2 separate regions of the Mus musculus genome follow, and region 1 is reported to be linked to region 2. Evidence: microRNA targets listed by miRTarBase, many of them from high-throughput screens and not tested one by one. Region 2 holds a microRNA gene; the other region holds the end of a gene's coding sequence.

Region 1 (12,884 bases), not on the chromosome of region 2:
GGCTTGGAACTAAGACTGGTAGGAGGAAGCAAATAAAACATGGCGTTTGAATGTCTGGTCACAGACAATGACAAGACAGCCGTCATAATAGTGATACCCCAGAGTTCTCCTGAGACACAGCTTTGAGATACGCTAGACTCCTTAGAACCACATTAAATATGTACTAGTATATTTCCCCAGCACAAGCTGTGATTATTAAATCTTAAAGTTTGTTATCAACAGCACTAGCCTTTGTTTCTGAATCTTCACTTAGCTTAGAGAAGATCTATAAGGTTGTGAGAAAAGTATTATCTCTGTAGTTACCCTTTTGTTCATCATGCTCAGGAAATTGCCTGAGGGAAACTATTGCATATGCTGCTAAGGTCTCTCAAGACTGGTGGCTAGGGACATTTGCCAACACTTGACAGTTTCTCATCATTCAACATGACACTACATCTTTAACAGCAGGAATCCAGTCTTGGCAAATTACAAATACTTGGCAGACTCTGAAGACTGGTCCTACCATTTACGCATGAAGTGAGGCCACATACAACAAACAGGGTGTATATAGAGAGATATTCTACACGAGTTAGTGTTTGTTAGAAGTGATAAAGTTGGATAACAATATTCTGCTATTAGATGCTGATGCTGTGAAATATTGTGAGGACCCAGGGTGTGAAATGTCAAGTTCATATTGTCCTACTCACTAACTTCCAACTCTAGCCCTCAGGGTGGTCTATAGGCAGCTGTCACTGAAACTACCTCATCTGTCACTCTCTTTTAATAGTGTGCAATCACAGAAATAAAGGAAAACAAGCAATACTATCCCTGGAAGTACACCTTCTGGCATGTTAGCTGTTTCAGAAGTAGTGTAGAAGTTGTCATCTAAACATTACCTTCTTTGGGGTCAAACATTTAACCCAGTGGGAAGAACATAAAGAAAGATGGGAAATGAATTAAATTTTGGAATCTGAGGTACATTCATGGACAGATTTTTAAAGTTTTTATTTTCTTCTAGTTTATATATCAATGAGTTTTAGGTCAGTACTTTATATTTTACCATGATATTTTTTACTATGAGTTTTGTCTCTTTACCATCATGACCAGAACACTAATCTATAAGTACACTAAATACTATGTACTTATATGTATTTATTCTCTTTCTATCAGTCTATCGTGTATCATGTCACCTGGTTGAAAAGCTAAGTGAGTGATGAATATAGTTGGATCTAAAGATAGATGTGCTTCATCAACACATTGTTTATGGATGATACACATATTTGGCTCTCAGTAATTTATCATTGTTCTCATAATTTAACAATACTCCATTAAGTCTATGTATGGTAGTACTGTTTTTTAATAAACTATTAAAATGTCCCAATATCAATTAGCTTCTGTCTCTAGTCCCCAAAGTAGTTTCAACATTATCTTAACCTTGTTTGGTATTTTCTATTAAAAGTAGATATAAATTCTATAACTGAGCATATCTGACATCATGTTTCTTACAGAACTCTAAGAATATAACTCATTCTAAGCAGTAATAGCATCACAGACTCACAGACCATTTTCTATCAGCCAGTAATAATCCAAAACATGCTACATAATATTTATCTTTTGTGGAGCAATGCTTTGACATACTATGATTGCCATATGCATTTTTGACCGATAAATAGAGGTACCCATCTGGGTATCAAATTATTTGTTTGTACTACCACTAGCAATAGGCTAGACAATCTTTAAGGGTCTTGTTTTGATATCTGGGTCTTCAACACTCCCCTGGTCAGCCTCCCAAGCATGCATCATTGTCTATTCTAAGTCAAGAATATTATATCCTTCCTAAGATAAACACATAGATTTGCCACTATATTTGCTTAGATTTGACGTTACTAGATCCCAGCTTAACTTCCATATTTATGAACATGAGTTCGTGTCTATCTCCTTTTACGGTATAAACCTGGTGTTTATTTACCTACAAAAGGCAGTTAAAAAGGCTTGAAGGAACATAATTAATATGAAACAGATTTCTAAGGCAGCATGACTTTGCTATGTTGCTATAGAAACAATGGGGATTTCTGGTCACTGACCTTTCAGATAATGCAAGAATATGCTTTCATAAAACTCATAAGAGTAATCAGCCTAGGATATTCATCTCTAGTTTCTGGTGGAGCATTTTGAAATCCCCTTTGCAGTCCTGGATGATTTTAGAGTTAAATTGTATTGTTCAGCGTTACTATAGAGTCAAAGTATAACTCTTTGAAGAAATATTTTTAACTGATTCTAATATGAGATCTAAGATTAACACAGTGACCATGTGAGCAGCAAAGAAGAAGAAATGTTGAGATTAAAGGAAACAAAGTCATCTTTCAAAAAGTTCTGATGATATATCTGTTCTGCTACATTTTGAGCTCTTCTATCATATGTTTCACTAACTATAAAAATAAGGCCTCACTCTATCAAAGTGTAACTAGAAATTAGAATTTTATCGCAAAACATTAAAGGATCAATATCATTGGCCAATGGAAATTTTTAGCTTATTCCCTTAATATGGTAATGCATTCATATACTAGGTTTTCACTGATAAATAAACACAATTAAAATTCCTAGTTAAGAAAGAATTTATCGCCAGGTGTGGTGGCGTGCGCCTTTAATCCCAGCACTTGGGAGGCAGAGGCAGGCGGATTTCTGAGTTCGAGGCCAGCCTGGTCTACAGAGTGAGTTCCAGGACAGCCAGGGCTATACAGAGAAAACCTGTCTCGAAAAAAAAAAAAAAAGAAAGAAAGAAAGAAAGAAAGAAAGAAAGAAAGAAAGAAAGAAAGAAAAGAAAAGAAAGAATTTATCTATTTCTTTGGCCATTTGGCAGAAGCCAATGATTCAATGGAGACATGGCAAAGCTTGCCTTGTGACAGATTATTGTTATGATTACATCAATATTTCAGTTTTTACTGGAAATAAATGAGGAAGATCATCAGCAAATGCATCATTTAACTACAATAAAATACCTGTCAATGGGTGACAAGATTATCTAATATCAGAATGGAAATCTGTCTAGCAGTTCCTCAGAAAATTAGACATAGTACTACCTTAGGACCCAGCTATATCACTCCGGGCCATATATCCAGAAGATGTAATAAGGACACATGCTCCACTATGTTCATAGCAGCCATATTTATAATAGCCAGAAGCTAGAAACAACCCAGATGTCCCCCAACAGAGGAATGGACACAGAAAATGTGGTACATTTACATGATGGAGTACTACTCAGCTATTAAAAACAATGACTTCATGAAACTTGCAGACAAATGGATAAAACTTGGAAATATCATCTTGAATGAGGTAACTCAGTCACAAAAGAACACACATGATATGTACTAAAGGTTTGGAATATCCAAGATTCAATTCACAGACCCTATGAAGCCCAAGAATGAAGAACAAAATGTGGATGCTTCAGTCCTTCTTGGAAGGTTGAACAAAAACTCACAGGAGGAAATATGGAGACAAAGTGTGGAGCAGAGACTGAAGTAAAGGCCATCTAGAGACTGCCCCACCTGGGGATCCATTCCATATATAGCCACCAAACCTGGATGCTATTGTGGATGCCAGGAAGTGCTTGCTGATGGAAGACTGATTTGGATGCCTCCTGAGAGGCTCTGCCAGAGTCTGACAAAAACAGAGGCAGATGCTCACAGTCAACCATTGGACTGAATATGGCGTCCCTGATGGAGGAGTTGGAGAAGGGACTGAAGGAGGTGAGGGGCTTTGCAGCTCCATTTAGGGAGCAACAGTGTCAACCAGCCATACCCTCTGGAGCTCCTAGGGATGGGACCACCAATCAAAGAATACACATGGAGGGACCCATGGCTCTGGCTGCATATGTGGCAGTGGATGGCCTTGTTGGACATCACTGGGAAAAGAGGCTCTTGAGTCTGAGGTTGTTTGATGCCCCAATGTAGGGGAATGCCAGAGAGGAAAGACAGAAGTGGGTGGGTGAGTGGGGGAACAACCTCATAGAGGCAGGGGGAAGGAGAATGGGATATGGAATTTCTGAAGGGGAGACCTGGAAAGGGGAAAACATTTGAAATGTAAATAAAGAAAATATCCAATTAAAAGAAAAGAAAAGAAAAGAAAAGAAAAGAAGAGAGAAGAAAAGAAATATCTCTTCAGATATAAAACTCTCATAGCACAAAGGCACATAAAGAAAAATAGAAGCATCCCAGTATTTGTACCTTGAGCAGTACAATCCACACTAGTGATCAGACATTTAGAAATTTCTCTAATGTAGTGGCACATTCTTCTTCTAGAGACTTTGTGAAGGCTGGGACTCTAAATCCTTCCACTTACTGGAGAGGTAGTCTTGATCAAACTCTTTAGCCATTAGGTGCTTAATCTTGTTCATGTAATAAGTGAGATAGAAAATTCAATTTCTTGGTATTGTTTTGAGAATTAAATGACCTAAAATTATGTATTAAAATCACACCTAAATATATATATTAGTCAAATAACGTTTTCTTAAAGTATATCCAAATTCAGGGACAGGGCTAGCATGATCATGCCAGTCCTGATGTGTTGCGATGCCCAAGGAAGAAAGAATGCAGACACACTCATCCTACATAGAAATACAACTTCCCCATGGCAATGCCAGGGGCAGTATGCTAAGTTTTTAGAAGAATGTATTTTCTTCCTTGGGATGGGTTTAAATACCACAGACTCCTATAAAAAGAAAAAAATTACTGCACTCAGGCTAAAGTGTCCCACAAAACTCCAGTAAAAGATGCCAGTAGTGAGTACTGGGTCTTCAAGTTACTCCCAACTTCTGACCTTGGTTCCTTAATTAGAGGTTCCCAAGATTCTCTGCTTAGTTTTAATGATTTTTAGGAGTAATAATATACAACTTACTCAGTATATTACCAGTTTATTGCAAAAGATAGACTCCAGGAGCAACCACATAAAAAAGACACAAAGAGCATCGTAGGTGTGTGTTAGGAACCTCAGGACATCTCTGTTTGCTCAATTGCCCAGAAGCTGCCTAAGCCTTTTATAGGGACTTTTATAAAGAAATAGTGAAGATGGATCTTAAGATCTAAATCTTTCCCCTTCCTGGGGGACTGAAATAGGGTCTAAAAGCTTTAAGTTGCTAATCATGGTTTCACAGTTCTGCTGCCCAAGGCCAGGACTCAGAATACATGTCTTGAAATATGTTAACACTTTGGCTTGTTGTGTATTTGAAACTGAGGGAAACAGAAGAAAGCTTTGGAATCAGAAAGCTCCTCTCTCTCTCTCTCTCTCTCTCTCTCTCTCTCTCTCTCTCTCTCTCTCTCTCTCTCTCTCTCTTTCTCTCTCTCTCTCTCCCCCCTACCTTCCTCCTTCTCTCTGACCTTTCCATCTCTGAAGACCCTCAAGTAATACTCACCCATCTCCGAAGGAAAGAATACTAACAGAAGCAAGAAAAATACAAACTGGATTTGTCAGCCCTCTCAGTATATTTCCATTAGGTGATATGACATTTGAAGTTAACCATAGTTCTATAAAACTGTTTATTCTTCTACAAAATTCAAACATAAAAATATAGTTTTCTACTATTTTTAGCCCTTAATGCCTAACTCCTCATCTATCATGCCAAACTTTGGTTAGCTAAGTTAGCTCTTCATTTTGCTCTTCTTTCTTACAGAGATATCTACTGCCATCCTTGTGCTGATTGAGGTAAATATAGTCCTTTCTCTCTTATACATCAGCCAGCTTCAGAAGCCAAATTGTGTGCATTTCATCAGAACAAGAGTTAAGAAATTCTTAGCACTGGGAGCTATGTGCAAACCACGGATGAGAGATAGATCGATAGATGATAGATGATATAGATAGATAGATAGATAGATAGATAGATAGATAGATGATTGATAGATAGATAGATAGATAGATAGATAGATAGATGATAGATAGATAGATAGATATCGATAGATCAGTTATTAGAATAAGAGACACACTTAGCAATCATATGGCACATAAAATCACAATGCTTTTAAATTACTCCTCCAGGAATTAGAGGCAGAAACATTCTGAATATGTTTCCTGAGACAGTGTCTCAAACCATAAGCCTCCTGGCTCTGAATAGATTATAAGTGTACTAGTTGTATGACACCCTATGTATAAATTCCATTATGCCACAAATAGCTATACAAATTATGAAGTATACTTGCATCTTACAATCTGGAGAAGAGACTTTTGAAAAGAAGGCAAAAGTTGAAATTCCAAAGTGTACATTTGATTGTGTAGTGCTGCCAATTGTGGGGCCCAAGCCTGCTGTGGACGGCTTTCTTTAAAGTCCTTCGTGGACTCATTACAAATCAAACAGCTCTGACTTGGGATTTAAATCTGGAAAGCTAAAGCTCTAGTCAAGAGGCATCCTCAGACTGCACTTCTCAAGGGCTGGACTCCTACCAGGGCTTGTGTGAACTAAGGAGCTTCCTTTAGGTGGTGAGTGAAACACTCTTAAGATAAAAGAAAGCTAAACAGCAAAAACTCATTAACTGTTCGCACATTGACAGCGTGGCACTGCTTAAGAGAAGAAGAGCTTTACAATACCATACCCATCAATAGCAGTTCTCAAGGTCAAGCACAGTCTGCCTCCAGTCCTACACTGCTCATTGTCATTGTCATCAATTTGATTGTGTTCTGTTTGTATCTTTCCTTTTTAAGAAGAGGGTACTTTCGGTAAATATATAATGTACCCTAAACACCATCTGGGCTACCTTAATAATGAATCCTTCATCAGCTTCAAGGAAACATAAATTAGATAAGGAGTTATCACCTATTTCCAGGGTCAAAGCACACATGCAACTGAACACTCCATAGTATTTTCTCAACTGGGCAGAAGGAAGTTCCAGTGGTGCTATCTTCATGGTCTCCCACTCCTCTTCTGTTCCTGTCACTGTCCAACACACATCAATTACTCATGACCGTACAGGAGCAACAATATTCGTTACAGAAAGTGTACTCTCTGCAAGTGGTTTTCACTGTGGCTTTGCTGGTTTTCTTCTGAATAATTAGGAAGATGAACTGAGTAATTTCTCAGTCAGTCAAGTTTTTGTCTTCATTCATGGGTAATTAAGCCTATCTAAAGAAACCTTTTCCTAAAAGATATTCCCAAATCCCTGTTATTCACAAATTGACATTGCCTTTTGTTCCATTTTGCTTTTACCTTTGCGTACCTGCTAAGGTATCATATACATAGCCCACTGCCTGGGGTCCCTGAGGAGTTTTAAGGTATTTCCTGGGTTCTTTTATACACACACACACACACACACACACACACACACACACACACAAATACACACACACACACACACACACACACACACATATACATGCCATAAATTCCAAATTAAGGTTCTTCAATGGCCTGCCTCTGATATGCTAATGTGTCTTATGAATATGTAAAAGTTCACTATCCCTCACACGTTTTAGTTCCAATGAAGTGTTTCCTCAAGTGCAGCCACAGCTCTGAGCAGAACTGTAGATAAAGCTGGCTGTGTTCAATCTCACTGGAGAATCCTTCCTGCTGTTCCATCTCTAAATCCCCTCGGTTCCTTAAGACATGTTGCAACTTTTCATTCCAGTTCACTGTGTCAGTTGTCATTAAATGTTCATGTTCCTGATATGCATGATTTTGTTACTAAAGTAAAAGGAACCAGGAAAGATTTTGCAATGGATAATATTTTATTTTATTTTCCACCATTTATATACAAACACAAGTTAATAAAACACATCACAAAACTGTAAAATTCATAAATTAATATTTATAGGTGCATAGTCTCATGCTCACATAATTTTAAAATATATATTAACAAATTTCACAACACATCATTCTTAGACAGAAAGAGTCATTCAGGACACCTAAAACTCTTGGAGCAAATCACAACTTCTTAAGAACAGCAACAAAAAGAAAACGATGAAGATTTAGAAATAAGTGGTAGTCACTTAGGTGTTTTAAGTTTCTTCTAACAATTTAAGTGTGAAGCCACAACAATATCCACAGCACACAAGACCCTGCTACCAGGTTTTCACTGTAGTGAGAGGGGAGCACCGGGATGCTGAGGGGCAGGTACAGGACGCCGATCACTGCTGATGGAAGACTTTGAAACACACTGTACAGCTTTGAGAAAAGGTCATGACTGGGCACATTGGAACTGAGCACTTGTACGCCATGGAAGAGCAGCCGGCAGATCTTAGGAGATTGGGTGCAATGACATTCTTAGGCTTCAGGCTCATAGTCTTGGTAGCCTTCCTAATATCAGGAAAAGAAAATAATAACAGCATGCCTTGTCAGTGAAGTGACAGATATCAACTGTCTGCTTCACAGTGGGGGAGGGCTCATCATTTCAATCAGATAAAATTGATCCTCAGAGCAGTGTTTGGAACTTATCTGTCATTGACATTTATTGGCTTTTTCATACGTATCAACTGTAAGTTATAGAGGACATCACCGTTAGATTATTAGGCCCAATTCTAGGTATATCATTTGATCTGTGCTCTCCTCCTGCAGTGTGAATTGGCAGGGTCTCTGGATTCTCTCCTTTGCTCTGCAGTGTGAGCTGTGCACACCTAGGTAAGCTGCATGAAGCCTCCTCCAGAGCTCATCTTTCGCCTTTCTCTCCCCCATTAGAACACTCCACCTTCATGAATTGCTTCCATGAAGGATCTTTCACATGAAAGCCCAAGCCTCCTGGACAAAATCCAGATAACATTCATGACAGTAATGACCCAATGTAACTGAATTTGATAGCCTTCCTCAAAATTAACTCTAATTAGGATTGTGCTGTTAAACTAAACCTATCATCAAACTCTTCTTTTTCCAAATGTAAAAATAAACTTAAATGATGGTAACTTGGGGCTCTACAGTTTGTCTAAAACCTTAGTTATGTCTTCAGCCTTAATCTGTCATTTTTCTGTTTTCTAACCATGATTCATAACTGCCCGTTGTTACTCAGACATTTCCATATGCCTTTGTTACTACCAGTCTCTTGTTCTAGAATGTTTTAATTTTGACCTACTATATCCCTTACCCTCTCCCACAAAGATTAAAATCATTTGCTCTAAAATATTTTCTTGATTGAACTATGCCAACCATAATGTGAGAGAGATCTGATAGTGGCAGGGTTTTGATGGTATGTGTTCCAAATTAAACACCTAAAGTGTTTTGCTTAGTTTTCTTTATACAGGCATTTACCTCTGAAGGCATTTCATAAGCCTCACTGCCAGGATCCACAGGCATGTCTTCCAGGATTCCTTCCTGTGGGTACCCCTCCTCACCCTACAGAGAGGGAAGAGAAAGCACAATAAGAGAGTGTTTTAACTTCTGAAAACCAGCTTGAAAAAGACACCTTATCTTCAAGGTGCTGCACGAAGTGTTATCAGAAGTGCATTCTTCTGTATTATTGATGGATTCTAAGTGTACCAAACCACTGGAAAAAACATTGTGCATGCATGGGTTACCAATCTAAAGAGTACAAATATTTTGCACAGGTAATTAACTACACTGGAAGTTGCCAAAGCTAAAGTCCATAAGTTCTCTCCATAAGCGCAATGCTATAGTAACAATGGTTTGTAGTCAATGGGTAATGATGAATCAAATAACAGTAATGTATTCAAAACTTTTCTGAAATCATTTGCCAATTCTCTAATAAGGATAGCTTATTTTTGGTGTAATGTTTAACAGGATGTCATTTGTAGACAGAACCCACATAGCATTTCAATGAAAAAGTAAAAATGTTCCAAAAAAGTAAAACAAATATTGACAAATTATCATTATTATTTATTTTTCCTAAATTTTAAAAGGTAAAGTACATGTGTTTTATAATTCATTGTTTTCTTTTCTTTTATTTGTGAGTATGTGTGTGGACTATGTGCATGTGTGGTGAATAATGAGGGCATCACATTCCCTGGAACCGGAGCTATAGATCCTTGTGATTCTCCATATAGGTGCTAGATTATAAACTAGAGTCCTCTGGAAGAAAAATACATATGTTCTTAAACAGTGAGCTATATTTTGAGCCCCAATAATTCATTCTTAAATGCTGCCAAAGAAATAGTTCTCTTTGGAAAGCTGAAGTTTGAAATTATATGTACTTGAAGTAAAACCAAAACCAAAACCAAAACAAAGATATGATTGGACAAAATTTCAGATTATCTCTCCACAATGCAGACACCCTAGCATTCAGCTTGACATGATGGAGCTTTTTTGTATCCTTCATCAAAGATCTTTTGTTCTTTTCCATTTGTTCCACCAAAGTAATTATTGAATGACAGAGTTCAGCAAATACTCAAAGAGCAACTAGAGGCTAAATGGTCTATTTCAATGAGATCAAAGGATGCTCAGCTTCTGTGGGCAATATACTCACTGTAAATGCTATCTCCCTCTGCTTTTATCATAGGCATAATGGACAGGTGGGCAGAGGGAAGAAATAAGAGTTGACACTAAGGCAAGGTCAGACTCTGAAGGTCATGCTTTCGGTAGCTTGGCAGGGCACCTTACAGATCATCCTATCATGCTGTATAGATATCAACAATCTCTGGTTACAAACCCAGAGAGGCCAATTTGTTTATAAGTTAAATAAGTCTTAAACTGTCCCCAAATCACCTCACTTCAAAATGTAGAGTAACAGTATTTTACATGGTAGTATAAGAATCCAGGTTTTGGTTGTGTGGTAGTTCAGCCCCAGAACTTGATCATAGGATGCACATTACAATTCCAGCCTAAGTTATCTTTTGTGACTCTGGGCATGTTACCACCACTCCTGAGCATCAACTAACTGTGTTGAGAAAAGACAGCAAAGAGATCTTTTCATTTGTATATAACTGGGAGGAGCAAGTGACACAATGGACCCCTCTCACTGATGTTTACGTGATTTTTATACAGCTCATAGGAAGGAAATATAGTAAACCACCTCTTCAGTGCATTTTCCAATGTAACTTGTGAGATTTATGTTATAAACTGGATAAGACAATATGAAAGGCCAACCCTGGGGGCTCCTAACTCTGATATTCCTACATTAGTAGAAGAGGATGTCACAGGCTGTGGGTGTCCATGTGTATAAGGGGATAACTGTGTTTGCCCTTCAGAGTTCATCCAGATAATGCTGAATGTTGCTTAGAAATTCCTTCCTGGGTTTACCATGAAATACAATCAATTAAAATCCCTTCATGTCAATTTTAATCATAAAATCATCCAAGTTGTAAATCAATAATTGTTGGTTTCTTTTTAAAAACATAGTATACGTGTTTGTGTTTCTTAGTACTACATTTTCCTGTGCTAAAGATTGTACTCTCCTGGCATTCATTTAGGAAACACCGTGTTCCACAAATCTTGAGGAGTTATCTTTATCAAAGTTTTTTTTGTATGTGTGCTTAATATTTTTATTAGATATTTTCTTTATTTACATTTCAAGTATCTACCCTTTCTTGGTTTCCCTGCTGAAAACCCCATATCCTCTCTCCCTCCCCCCTGCTCATCAACCCATCCACTCCCAATTCCTGGTCCTGGCATTCCCCTACAATGGGGCATTGAGCCCTCACAGGACCAACGGCCTCTCCTCCTATTGATGACCAGAAGGGAAGGCCATCCAGAGACTGCTCCACCTGGAGATCCATCCCACATACAGTCACCAAAGCCAGACACTATTGTGGATGCCAACAAGTGCTTGCTGACAGGAGCCTGATATAGCTGTCTCCTGAGAAGCTCTGCCAGTGCCTGACAAATACAGAGGTGGATGCTCTCAGTCAACCATTGGACTGAGCACAGGGTCCCCAATGGAGGAGCTAGAGAAAGGACCCAAGGAGCAGACAGGATTTGCAGCCCTATAGGAGGAACAACGATATGAAGCAACCAGTACCCCCAGAGCTCCCAGGGACTAAACCACCATCCAAAGAGTACACATGGAGGGACTCACAGCTCCAGCTACAAATTTATCAAAGATTTTTTTAAAAATTCACAGCTTAATTTGTAGGCAAGGGTTCCATAAAATCATAAAGGATCCATAATTTCTATAATAAAAGTGAAACCACGGATGTGTCCATAAGTTTATCTGTGAACAGAGAACTGTATCATTTAAAATATAAATACATACTCAAAAGAAGAGAGATGCTGTCTAAATAAAAAAGCAAGTGTCTTGACCTATAAAACGAAACAAAAAAAAACCAACCAAACAAACAAACAAACAAAAAAACACTAACTGGTAACCTGCATGTGGGCAAAACCTGTCAAAGGGCAAAGATAGAGGATCTAGTACAGGTCAAGGTGTTGGTACAGATTTAGTGGCCATACAAAAGACAGGCTCGCATCCACCATTTTTCCTGCAGAGAAGATCGTCAAAATTCTGTATCAAGGATATCAAATATGTATCTCCTCTTTTTCAGAGAGATCTGTGCTGCAATACCACCTAGCTTCTTTTGTGTAGCTTGTATACTCGTATACTACCTGGACTTTAATGCATGCTACTTGGTCCTTACTGTATATCCTGCATCCTACCTAGCCCCTAATGCATAGCCAGCAGGTCACATTGCATTTAATGCACAGCTTGTATCCCACTACCCCCCCCTCCATACCCCCTCCTTATCACTTGAATTCTGTCTGGTTCTTAATGCATAGCTTGAATCCTTCTAACATGTTTCCATTCTGCCTGGACTCCAAATGCATAGTTTATATCCTACCTGCCACCTCCACATATATCTTGCATGTTTCTAGTTCCTAAAATATAGCTTTCATGCTACCTGGTCTTTTCATGTACAGTTTCCATCCTACCCAACCCTCATAAATGTCTTGAAACTTCCTGGCCCCTAATGCATAGACTGTACCCTAACTTGCATGCTACTTGGCTCCCATGTATAGTATACATCTTACCTCCCCATGCATAGCTTGC
Region 2 (12,884 bases):
CTACTAAATAACATGTAAACAACCTCAGCATCAAAGCAGTCAAGTGGAAAGCTGTCTTCACCATAAACTCCAGAAGGTGCAGAGGAGCCTTTGGGTTTGGCAGAGGTGGCTGGGAAAAGCCCTCACTCTGTCTTGAATACACATCTGGGCTCCTGGCTACATCCAGCGGAACATAGCAACACCCAGTACCCAGCTTTTCTCCTTATATAGAAAGACCATCTATGCAGGGATCACCACCCTGCAACCTCACTGGGAGGAGCCACTGGCTCAGCCAGCAGGACACAACAGGAGAGAGGAAGTTTTAGAGTTTCCTGTGACTCAAAGCACTAGTCACATTTCAGCAAGTGATCAGACAAGTGAAGGCTGCTGGTACTTCCGGAAAAGCCTGGAGGGCCTTTGTGTGGGATCCTGCAAGGTCCAGTGTGTGTGTCAGCTGAGCAGTGTGGGGATAACATTTCTAGGATCGAGAAACCTGAGTGGGCACCTCCCCACACCTACGCCTTTTATAAATCTTTCTTAGAGGGTAGCCATCTTCTGTCTCCCCTTACTATCTTTGAGTGGTGCGTGCATGTGGGTGTCAGATGTTCTGTCATTGACAACTTTAATTTTTTAAGGTCTCTCCTAGAACTCACTAATTAGGCCAGAGAGCTCTGGGGACCCTGTGGCTTCTGCTCCCTAGGGATAGGGTACAGATGTGGATGCTGGGGAATCCACTCAGGGTCTCAAGCTTGTGTGGCAAGCACTTTACACACCGAGCCATCACCCTAACCCGTCCTCGTTTCTCTTGCCTCTTTTACTCTGGCCTTGGCCCATACCCCAGCCTCTATTTGTCAAGTAGCCCCTAACTAGACTGCCACAGTACTCACTCAGCACGTGCTGTAGGCTGTGCACACAGTGGGCCCTTACAGAGATAATATTCTAGTGGCTAAAACAGATTGAACACAGAAAAGGGCAAATGAGTTGTAAATTAAGTACTTTGCTTTGTGTTGGTGGGACTGGAGATCCAATCTGCAGCCTCCTCAAGAAAACAAAACAGACTACAGCAAGGAGTAGAGGACTTGAGTAGACTGATCCAGCGAGTGATATTCTCTCTCTCTCTCTCTCTCTCTCTCTCTCTCTCTCAGGGCAGGGTCTCATCCAGCCTAGGTTGGCCTTCAACAGCTGGTCCTTCTCCTCCCAAGGGCTGGGATTACGGGCTAAGCCACCACACCTAGCTTCTAACCTCTTGCCAAGTCCCCTCTGACCAGCACGCCTTCTCTTGACTCATAGCTGCCTTCAGCTCTAATGCCAGTCTAGGACAACATCCTTTACTTCTTAATCAGAAACTGATTCCTTTACCTTAAAAGAAAGTTTTTTTTTTTTGTTTTTGTTTTTTTTTTGTTTTTTGACAAGGTCTCACTACACAGCTCAGAATGACCTCAAATTTGAAATTGCTCTGCCTCTGCTTTCAAAGTGCTGAGATCATGGAGGACTGACACCATAATCTGCCTTTTTTTTTTTTTTTTTTTTTTAAAGTGTGCTGATGCCGTTCCAGGCACTGATGATTTCACTTGGTTGTCAGGAAGATTAAAACAGGTAACTCAAGATGGCAAACCACTCCGAAAATGAAGGAAGGTGCATGCCTTTTACCCCAGAGAGATCTCGGCCAATCTCAGGCCAGCTGGGGCTACAAAGTGAGACCTTGTCCCAAAATTGAAAAGGAAAAAAAAAGGCCTATACAAATATGAATTGTTTAGTAATCATCGTTGTTACTCACAAGAGCACCCTGGGAAGCTGGCCAGGCAGGAAAGCTGGGGATCGGGGTGGGGAACGGACCAGCTCTTTGAACCCTGTGACACAGGAGGGCTGAAAAGCTGCCTGGCTTCTTAGGCGGGGCTTGGTTTTCTGCTTTCTTCCGTTCCCCACCAACTCAGTTGATCACAAGATGCAACTTGAACTTTTGCACTGATTTCCACACCAGAGTTCGTAAGAGCTGAGACACCAAGGCCTCGATGTCCACTTCCTTGTTTGTGCCCCCGCTATGCACAAACAGCGGAACCACCCAGTCTCAGTGCTCTCCTGAGGTTGCAGTGAGGACTAAACGATAAGCTTGACGTGACGCTGAAGACAGTGTCTGGTACAAAGCAAGCAATCCTGATCAAAGTTACAGAAACCCACTGTGCTTCCTGGTTCAGGGCGTATCAGAGAGGTCTCTGTGGGAAGGGGACGGTGCAATGGGCAGAGTAGAGGTGCTTGGAGCATTGAGAGCATGGCCAAACGGTGTAGGCTTTGCGCCATGTGGGGCTTAGCAGTCTTCCAACAAGTGACCCAGGAGCACCCTCGGGAGGCCCAGGACCCCATCTCCAGCCGGGTGGGGGAGGGGCTGCAGAGAGCGGCTTCCTCGCTTTATTCGAGGCCTTCTTGGAAGGTGGCTGGGCTGAGGACACCATTCCCTTCGGCCATGGCCAGTGAGCCAGGCTTGGGAGCGAGGAGTAATGCACAGTGGTATGGAGCACACGGTGAGAAGAGGGAGGGAGGCAACTGGGAGTGCCAAGCTCCAGCCAAAGGACCATCACTTTTCACAAAAGCTCGCTACCCCAAAACATTTTTTCTTTTTGATTTTAGACAGCCTAGAATACAATTAGGCAATGCTGTCCAGCTGGGTCAGTCCAAAGAGACTCCAAGAAAAAGTGCTTATTTCCCAACGAGGGGAGCAGAGAGTGGCAAGAGGCTTCCCAGAATTAGCAAGAATTTGGGGTGAAGACCGACAGTGGAGGCCAGGAACTCCCTAAAGACCCTGTCAGTTGGCATAGGTGGCTCAGGGGTCTCAGGAGGCTGGAGTCCTTTCTGAATTCTGGGATGTGGTTTCCAACGCAAATAAAGGCCAATTAGTAGAAATGGGCTGGAGTGTGTCCAAGCACTTCCTGTCTGTCCTTTGAATCGTTTGGAAATGGTTAACAAATAGGTTGGACACCTGGCTCCAAATGAGAGATGGGAATTTCCATGTAAAGCTCCAACTGTAAAACTCTTCCTTCCCCAAGCAATTCAGACCAGGACTCAAGTGCGCCCTAATGATCCAAAGTCCTAAGCAGGCTTGACTAAGTCAGCAACGGCCGCCGGCCACAGATTGGAAGAAACCCTTTACATGTAAAAAGGCTATGCTGAGAGGGACAGCCGTGTTTCCAGCGTCACTGGCTGGTGGATCTGGATGACAAACCCTCAAAAGTTGCATTTCTGTCTGTTCCCAGACCCAGCCAGCCACTTGCAACAGACTCACTCTCACAGGTTGGGAGAATTTGCATAAATTCAGATCTGAAGTGAATTCTGATGGGGAGCAGCAGCCATCCAAAACAACCTCCTTTTTGAGTTCCCATTTATGCCCACACAGATCTGGGCAGGTCCAGTGGGGTCAAAGAACAAGAACAGTTGGCACCTGCCTATCCCTGCCCTGTGCAATTCTCAAGGCTTGAGTAAGCAGCTGCGAATCACAGGCTTTGTAAGATCTCTTCCCTTCCCGGAACAGGCTAAAAATGCAAATGCACTAGGTAGGTTATTTGCTGCACTGCGTGGCCTCACCTCTAAGGCAAACATATTACTTCAGGTGAACTCTTGACCCTGTAGGGAAGGGACTGGAACCCACACCCCTGTCAACCACGGATAATCCTATGTAAGGTATGCTATGTGGTCTCTTAGAGATAGGATGTTGTGTTTAAAAAGTACTCCTAAATTACCTTAGTAGCAATCTTATTAATTCTTCGGTAGCAAGTCAAGCCGGAGGCTGTGTTACCTGTCTATAATCTGAACACCCTATGGCCTAGGCAGGACAATCTCCTCCTGTGCTACACTATTCACTACCACATGCACACACAACCAAGTTATTTATGAAGAAAATGCATCAGCTTTTTTGGTGCCTATTAAAAAAGGTCGGGCCAGGTATAGTGGCGCATGACTTTTATCCCAGCACTCGGGAGGCAGAGAAAGGTGGATTTCTGAGTTTGAGGCCTGGTCTACAGTTTCAGAACATCCAGGGTGACATAGTTACCTATACTAAATGACCTGGATTCAGTTCTGAAAGCTGTTGTTTCCCTGCTCAAACTTTCTTTTTCTTTTTTAAAACATTTATTTAACAAGTGTATGTGCACGGTGTATGAGAAGGACCAAGGGCAATCTGTAGTTGTGGACTCTGTCCTCCCACCATGCACAATCCCAGGGATTGAGCTCAGACGATCAGACGGTCGGGCTTGGCAGCGAGCTCCTTCATCCAGTAAGCCATCATGCTGGCCGTATCTAGTTTTTCTCGGTCTTATATAGTACGCTCTTTTCCTCTCGGCCCTCCCCCTTTCTTGAGATAAGGTTTCAGTTTCAATACTGTTTGTGCTGCCTCAGATTCCCCGGGGCTGAGATCAAGGGGCCAGTCAGAGTCTTTTTCTGAATTTGAGCTTTTTTTCAAGACAGATGCCCTGGAGTTCACTCTGTAGACCAGGCTGGCCTCTGCCTCTCAAGTGCTGGGCTCAAAGGCTTTTCACCACGAGAGCCTGATTTGGACTTTATAACTGCTTTCTGGCCTGGTGGAAGGGTTCTGTGGCAGGACTGAAGCTCGGAGTTTGACTCTTGAGCCTCATGTGGAAGGAAAAGGAAACTGACAGGCAGAAGCTGTTCTTGGACCTTCAGGAACTCACTACGGCATGTGTACGCTCATCCACAAAAATAAAACGTAGTTATTAAACAAACAAACAAACAAACAAACAACAACAAAAAACCCGAAACAAAACTTGTCAAGCTGGAATGTAGCCTCAGCACTGGGAAGAAGACACACATAGTTACACAACACAATACCCCTCAAAATAAAATTTAAAAGGTTTGGCCAAATAGTCTTTTTCCTTACTACAAAAACCTATCTAAGATGCTGAAGGCTTCAAAGGAGCACGTGAAGACCGGTGCAGCCCGGCGGCAGCTCCTGCTAGCGGCAGCGCTAAAAGCCTAGGTTTGAAGTGGAGAACCTGCGATAAGTTTCTGGTGCACTTGCTACATTATGACGTTTCTGCATGTGTCTAAGATCATCTTTGATGATTTAAAAACTGAAGACAGGAGTGGAGAGATGGCAAGCAGGTGGGAGCAAACCCTGCTCATGTGGAAGCCCTGGGTTTAGCTCCTAACACGCCCCACCTGTAATTCCAGCTCCCATGCAATGCCGTGTTCTGACACTGTAATACATGTGCACATACCCCCACACAGATACACGCAACTAAAAAACATATCAGTCTAAAAACCTGAAGTTAAGGCTAGGTGTGATTAGTTCAGGCACTTTGGAGGCAGAGGCAGGCAGAACTCTGAGTCAGAGGCTAAGCTGGTCTACACGGGGAGTCCCAAGACAACTAGGGCTACACAGACAGACCCTGTCTCAAAACATACAGACAAGCAAAATAATGAAACAAAACTGGAGTTATAGGAACATTTACCACAGCAACTTATTAAGCTTAACGCAGGTTTTGTGTTTGGTGGGTGACAGGAATCTCATACTGTCTTTATGCTACAGACAGCAGAGCATGCTGGAGTCAGGAGGAGGTTAAGGAATGCTCACCACAGGAGGTGCTTCTACACTTAGCAGGCGAAAAATACACCATTTGCAGTCTTCTTTTTTTCTAGCTTGTCAGGAGGATGGGACAAGGCCAGTGGTCCTCAACCTTCCTAACGCTGTGACCCTTGAATACGGTTCCCCATGTTGCGGTGATCCCCCAACCACGAGGTTATTTTCATTGCTACTTCATAACTGTAATTTTGCTACTGTTATGAATCATAATGTATTTTAGGAGACAGAGGACTGCTAAGGGGCCATGACCCACAGGTTGAGAACCACTGAACTATATGTTCAGCATCCAAATAAATGGAAGTATCCTTCTTCAGAGCCCCACACTCCAGATTATGTGTACATAAGATTCCAGACCCATTCCATGGCAGTGTCTGATTGAATAAACTGCAGATGGGGCATGCAGCTGGAGTGCAGAGGAACAAAATAAGACTTATGAGATGGAGTCAGAAGGCCCGAGCTCTCTCCAAGTTTCAGGAATATCAAACCATCCACTTGCAAACTTTCTGGGCTCCTACTAGCTAGACTTAAGTAGTAGTATCTTTGGAGACATATAACTATATATTTATGATAGTGGTTAATGAAACCAGGCAACCATGGGACAGAAGAGATATCTCACTGCTTCAGCGGGAATCCAGGACAAATGAACAGAGTTTAGGGCTTGATTAGTCTCCTAGACTTTTAGCTTAGGAAACCATTTTTTTTTTCCTTAAATATTCTATCCTGAAGCAAGTTTTATAAATAAATCCCAAAGACTTAATATAATTCACACTTAACATCTTCTTTCTTCAAATAAACACAAAATAAAATAGTGAGGCAAAGAGATGAAACAATTGCAAAGTAAGGTGGGAATTCTGATGCTAGCTAGCTAACATATGAATTATACTAGTCTAAGCCTGGCAGCACGGTGCATACGAAGTTAATTCTAGCACTTGGGAGGCGAGGGTGTGTTGATCTCTTATGAGTCCAAGACTAGCCTGGTCTCCATAGTGAAGTCTTATCTCAAAATAAATAAGTAAATAAACAAGCAAACAAACAAACAAATAAAAATTTCATTGTTAATTTGGGCATTGCTTTTCAAGTATGGCCAGGTAACAAATTGTTAGTCCCTGTAAAGAAAAAAACATAAACCAACCAGCCAACCAAAAGCCAACAAAGGACAACCTTTCCAAAATCCATGAGGCAAGGTGACTTTTCATTTTTATTTATTTAGTTATGACTGTGACGACTACCCCAATTTCCTAGGAAGTTTTCTCTTGATACTGCTGCTGTTGTACCAAGGTATAAGGGCTCCAAGTCTCACAAGACATAAGGACCACAATTTTTGACTGCAAACCATGATGCTGGGTAATGTTTGAATGAAAACATTTGATATGGATGGTCAGATGAAAGATACCAAAATGTCAGACAGCCCATCGACTGCTGTTGCCATGAGATTCAACAGTCAACATCAGTCTGATAAGCTATCCGACAAGGTGGTACAGCCATGCGATGTCACGACCACGACAGGGGGCAAGCACGAGGTGCTCAGGCAGGGTTTAAAGCAAAGCAAACATCTCTGGTTTGCTGGGGCTTAATGCCAATTCTAGGAAAGAAAGCTGTTTATTTTCCTACCAGGCAAAACAAAATGAACAGGGTCAATCAAAAAAATGTCAAAGGAAAATCACATTGAAATAAAACACAGAAATCACACAGAGAAGTAAGCTTCCACCTGTTAAAGCCGGAGTACAAACAGCTAAAACTAACATGAACATGAAAAAGCCTTTCTTGCTAGTGTCCTCTGATTTATACATCACCACTTCTTGTTTTTATAAAGTAAGAGATTCCCACTCTAGGTGAACCTCATAGTCCCGCTTAGATCTCCAGCCCAACAACAAAACACCTTGGAGGTAGCTCTCTCAGGCAATACATAAAAGCCTGGGCAATTCTGGTTTAAGTCTAATTGGCAAGGCTGCCACTCGCTTTGTAGAAGTGAAAAAGAAACAAAAAACCATAGCACTAAAGAAAACGGACACAATTTCGGAATGATCAAAGATGTCTTTATAAAGTTTTTCACGACTTCATTCTAAATATACAGAATAAAAAATGGCGTACTCATTTGTGAGACACCAACCAGATTTTCCTTATACTGTTTCAAAATTTAAAGATCAATTTCCCCAGAGGGTGTGCAATGCGTCATAAAATGGCCTTTTTGAGGGTGGGAAAGGAAGGCATATTAAATTGTTCCATGATAGACATGCAAGATTGCTATCCAATATATATAACTTATATACATTTGGTGACTTAGAAAAAAACAATCATTTGTGACAAGCCTAAAAAGCCTGACATATTTAACATACTTCAGAAGGTTCTGTGTGGCCCTGTGAAGGTATCAGAAGGCCAGTTTTTGTTAAGTTTGCAGCAGAACATCACATCCACCCTAAAGAATACGACGTGGATTGAACTGAGGGTGTAGACACCTTACCTTAACAAATAAAGTATGTCAGTGTAACATATGGACTAAACTGCTTTCAGGAAGAATGTTTTAAAAATCAACACAGGTTGGAAACGGGGACCTTCCTTCCTGGTTAGAGCCCTCCCAGTGTAAGGCAGGACTCCACCATGTTAACTTCTGCAGATAAAAACTCTCTGCTTATTTAGTTTTCTCCTCTGAGTTCAAGCGCTGCTGGATTCGTTTGGCATAGTTTTGTGCCATGGAGTTAATAATAGACAGGACAAAGTAACACACCATTGCAACCACCAGCTTCTCAAACATCCAGGATAACCAGTTTTCTCCCTGTAGGAAAGAAAGCAGAACAATTCAAGAAAAAGGGTTTCCTCGGTTCAACACTAAGGAGATTATTTGCAACACTTCAAGGGAAACAATGAGAACTTGAGGCTTGCCTATTATACCCAAACAACTAAAAACCGGTCTCTAGGTAGGCTGAAATCCACATTCAGGCCAAGCTTTTCCACACTAGGTTGTCAGTTCAAGCTGTGGGATGGATAGCTGATGCTAACCTGTATGGCTTAGGGAGGGATGGGAGGGTGGGCTGTCCTTTTACACTGTGACAGAGTGGTCTGGTTAGAGTCTATACTTTCTCTACAGCCTTGCAGACCTTGCTTGGAAGGGGAAGAGGACCTAAACTCTGAGAGCTGCTTTTAGAACATAAATGTGAGCCCTCTTTGGCCACAGCGGCAAAGAGCTATTTGAAGTCTAAAGCCAAGGGAAAGCGGCTGCTCTCCCCCAGGCTCCCTGTTCAGGGTGCTGCCTACACATCTGCTGGTTCTTTCCTCTGCCTCAGGAACTGAAGGCAAAACGGCCAGGCAGTTTATTCAAGTTAAAAGTTCAGCTGTGGTAAAAGCCTTGCTTTATTTAAAAGAAAAAAGAAAGAAAGAAAGAAAGAAAGAAAGAAAGAAAGAAAGAAAGAAAGAAAGAAAGAAAGAGAGGAAGGAAGGAAGAAAGGAAAAGAAGAAAAGAAAAGAAAAGAAAAGAAAAGAAAAGAAAAAAGAAAGAAAGAAAGAAAAGAAAAGCAAGCAAGCAGTTGCTTTCCTACAGCAGAAATGAAAGGGGATAACCATTTTACCTACTGCTTGGTGATGGTGCACGTGTTAACTTTTTAACCTAGCCTGGAAATGTATGTAATAACTCATGTAAGATCAAGACAGCATCACACACAACAGAATCCTGTCTTCCATTACCCCATCCTTGTTTCTGAAAAGCCACTAGACATAGACCAATAAACTCCCTCAGCCACCCCATCTAAAACCCGGAGAGCTCCGGATCTAGTTTGAGCCTGCTGATGCCTGCCGAGGGGGGAGAAGCAGGAGGGATCCTCACCTGCGGTGTGCCCGCTTCACTTCTGTGATGAAGCTTCTGCCGCTGCGCCTCCAGGTACTCTTGAAAAGGCTTCTGCAGAGACGGACCTATGCCGGGGACAGCACTGGAGGCAGGTACCAAAGGAAAGACACATTTGGGAAGAAAAGCAAGAGAAATGTTAAAGGAAATCTACTTACCCTTCAGATTAAAAAAAAAAAAAAAAAAAGAAAAGAAGGGCGGCAAGGACTTCATAAAAAGGACAAAATTCAACAATCAGGGTCACAGCAATCCTGTGAAGCTTGGATAGTGATAAAATTCCTCCTGAACTCCTTAGAGGTCTCGCCAGCAGTAATGCATTTGGGAGAAAGTAGGAGAGAGCTCAGAGCCACTGCTATGTCAGGAGGGCGAGGCTAGTGCAGCTGAGACTGCACACTGCTGTGGCACAAAGAATAAAATGAATGACTTCTGAGAAGTCCCACATTTATCACCACTAGTTCCTGTAAGAACTGGTTTAAACCGATTAATAAGGAAATGACTTATGCTTGTGTCATCTCTAGTTAAAAAAGAAACTGCCCTCCCTCTCTCTGACTGTCCCGTCTTCTCAGGGGGATGGGGTGGGTGGGAGGTGCTTTCTCAATCTAAGTCCTTATTAGGACAACCCCTGCGTCATCCTTATCCAAAAAGAATGCATTAGCACATTGGGGAGGCACCTCCCCCCAGCCAGAAGTCAGTGATTAACAAAGGAACAGAGAGGAACTGCGGACCCTGAATCATTTCATGGCTTATGATGGATGTTTGCCCAGAAACTCCTGTACATTACTAAACAGCTTGTTCCAAGATGTCTGGATAGCTATCTCTGATAAGGCTCTGGACCAACCAAGGTCCCCAGAGTTCGTAGAGCTAGGGCTGTAAAACCGGTCTGGCAACTGAAGCTACCAGGCTCCGGTCCCCCGCCACCCCTCCTTTTCTTTTGATAGCTAACAGGTTGTGTTAAACGGTACTGTGGGGCAACTTTGAAAAGTAAACACCCTTACTTCCTGTACCCTTTATTTTCTCATCTGTCTTATTTGCTACAAGGCAAATAAGCCCGTACTTTTCCTAGGGCCAGAAAAAGTATAGCAGGCACATGTGCGCAGTGCCCAGTGCTACCCCGAAAGCGTACTGACACCAGTGAACGATTTCCTCACCCCCCCCCAAGCAGAATAATAAGAGAAGACTCTTTTTTGCTACTATATTTGCCAGCCAGCAACAACTTCCCAACTGCTAGCCATTCTTTTTCTTTTGTACTATTATTACCTATCAGTCTTTTACCTAGTAATATCTTTAACGTTTAATGGAGTCCCTACTTTGTGTCCACACTATAAAATAGAAAAGCAAAATGCAGCTGGGCATATTAGCACACTCAAGTAGTCCCAGCTCTCATGAGACAGGCAGGTGAGTCTCTGTGAGTTAAGAGGTCTTTTGTAGGGACAGTTAGGACAGCCAGAGCTACACGGAGACCTTGCCACAAAACCAAACAGGAGAAAGTACAATCCTAGAGACTCAATGTAGAAAATAAACGCTAAGAGAACTGGGAGGGGAAGGAGAGATGACTGAGGGATGGTGATTATAGCCTAAACAGACAAGCTTTGAGGGCGAGGCAATGCAGTCCGACTGCCGACTGCCAACCGCAGACCTACAATGGCAAACAGTGAGGCAGTGCAGTCCCAGGTGGGACTCGCTCTCAGTAGGTGGACATCTCCTTAGGAGCTTAAGCAACTCTTCCTTATAGTACAGGCAGGAAGGCAATTAGTCTCTCCATTTACACTAGGAATATATTCTCTAGATAACAAAACAATTCCAGCAAAGTGTGTGGACAGATACACTGCCTTTGACTGCACCACTGTACCCAGAGGACAACGTCTGGTTCTTCCCTCCTACATGTGGGTCCTGGGAACCTAACTCAGCTTGTTAAGCATCCTTACCTGCAGAGCCACCTCACAGGTCCCCACAAAGTATTCTTACACCAGAGATTTTGAATGAAAAAAAAAAAATTAAAGCTACTACAACAAGTGCTTTTAACCACTGTGTCAGCTTTCTTTTTTTTTTTTAAAGATTTATTTATTATTACACATAAGTACACTGTAGCTGTCTTCACACATACCAGAGGAGGTGTCAGATCTCATTATGGATGGTTGTGAACCACCATGTGGTTGCTGGGATTTGAACTCAGGACCTTCAGAAGAGCAGTCAGTGCTCTTAACCACTGAGCCATCTCTCCAGCCCCTGACAGGGGCTCAAATAGCTCAGCTGGGCTAGAACTTGTTGTACAATCCACACTTGCCAAGACTCCTGATCTCCTGCCTCTACCGTCACAGTGCTGGGACTGCAGGTCTATACCACCATATCCAGTTTGTCCATAGCCTCACACTGCTAGAAAGCACCCTGCCATCCTCAACACACACTCGAATAGCTCAAAAACTCATCCCTTAAGTTATGTTTGAGAAGTAGACCAGAAATACAAATCTCTTCTGGCACACCAAGAACAGTATATTTGCTGCTGTGTGGGTGCATGTGTGCATGTATACATACATTATTACAGTTCAGTGTTGGTTGCAGGTGTTATTCTGAAAGCAATAAATTCAGAGCCACTGTGTGTCCACAGCTAAGAACTCGCCCCTTCTTTTTTTTTTTTTTTTTGAGACAGGGTTTCTCTGTGTAGTCCTGGCTGTCTTGTAGACCAGGCTGGCCTTGCACTCAGAAATCTGCCTGCCTCTGCCTCCCGAGTGCTGGGATTAAAGGTGTGTGCCACCACTGCCCAGCAAGAACTCTCTTATCTAACCCTCAATGGTGGGAGAAGCTCAGAGAACTAGCTTTGTGATATAGAAGAACACAATGCTGTGGAAGAACAAATATAGATAGAGCTATGATTTAGTATTAAACTCTTTTTTCGTTTTATTATTATTATTATTATTTTTAGTATTGAACTCTTTTGTAGCACCCTTATTAGACTAAAATGTACTTAAGCCAGCTTTATAAATAGCTACTTGGTTTCAATAAGAAAGCATTAAAAGAGGGAAGGTTTCTGATTTACCTTCTTCTTGTTGTCCTTTAAAACAATAGGGAGAAAAATATTCTATGGACAAATTAGTAGGCAGAGGCAGGGGGATCTGGCTGAGTTTGAGGCCAGCCTGGACTACAGAGTTCCAGTACAACCAGGGCTACACAGAGAAACCGCGTTTTGAAAAACAATCAAGCTGGGCAGTGAGTGGTGGCACATGCCTTTAATTCCAGCACTTGGGAGACAGAGGCAGGCGGATTTCTGAGTCCGAGGCCAGCCTGGTCTCCAGAGTGAGTTCCAGGACAACCAGGGCTATGCAGAGAAACCTTGTTTCAAAAAACCAAAACCAAAACAAACAAAAAAAACACCCCCCCCCAAAAAAAACAATAAAAAATTAAGCCCAAAGCAAACAAAAAAATTTTGTAGGTGGTAGGTTTGCTTTCTGTTACTGACATTTTTGGGGGGGGGGGGGTAGGAGG

The links. The annotated mature microRNA mmu-miR-21a-3p reads CAACAGCAGUCGAUGGGCUGUC and lies in region 2 at 6,973-6,994, opposite strand. An mRNA with a match to its seed (bases 2 to 7 or 8) in the 3' UTR can be bound and repressed. Matches are read on the target gene's strand: a 7mer-m8 pairs with bases 2 to 8, a 7mer-A1 pairs with bases 2 to 7 and ends in A, and an 8mer does both.
Region 1: miRTarBase lists Snca as a target of mmu-miR-21a-3p. Seed matches in the 3' UTR shown: 7mer-m8 at 7,898-7,904.

Annotation. Positions count from the first base shown.
Region 1 is chr6:60,723,908-60,736,791 of GRCm38, forward strand. Snca (synuclein, alpha) reads right to left here. Exons shown (of 6, transcript NM_001042451.2): 5 at 9,197-9,280; 6 at 7,666-8,254. The coding sequence ends at 8,222. Among named protein-coding and RNA genes, the nearest start is that of Snca, 99 kb to the right of the region's middle.
Region 2 is chr11:86,577,110-86,589,993 of GRCm38, forward strand. Mir21a (microRNA 21a) reads right to left here and starts at 7,049; the gene lies at 6,958-7,049. It overlaps Vmp1 (vacuole membrane protein 1), which reads right to left. Exons shown (of 12, transcript NM_029478.6): 11 at 9,387-9,489; 12 at 6,749-8,342. The coding sequence ends at 8,199. RefSeq lists an enhancer at 9,087-10,720.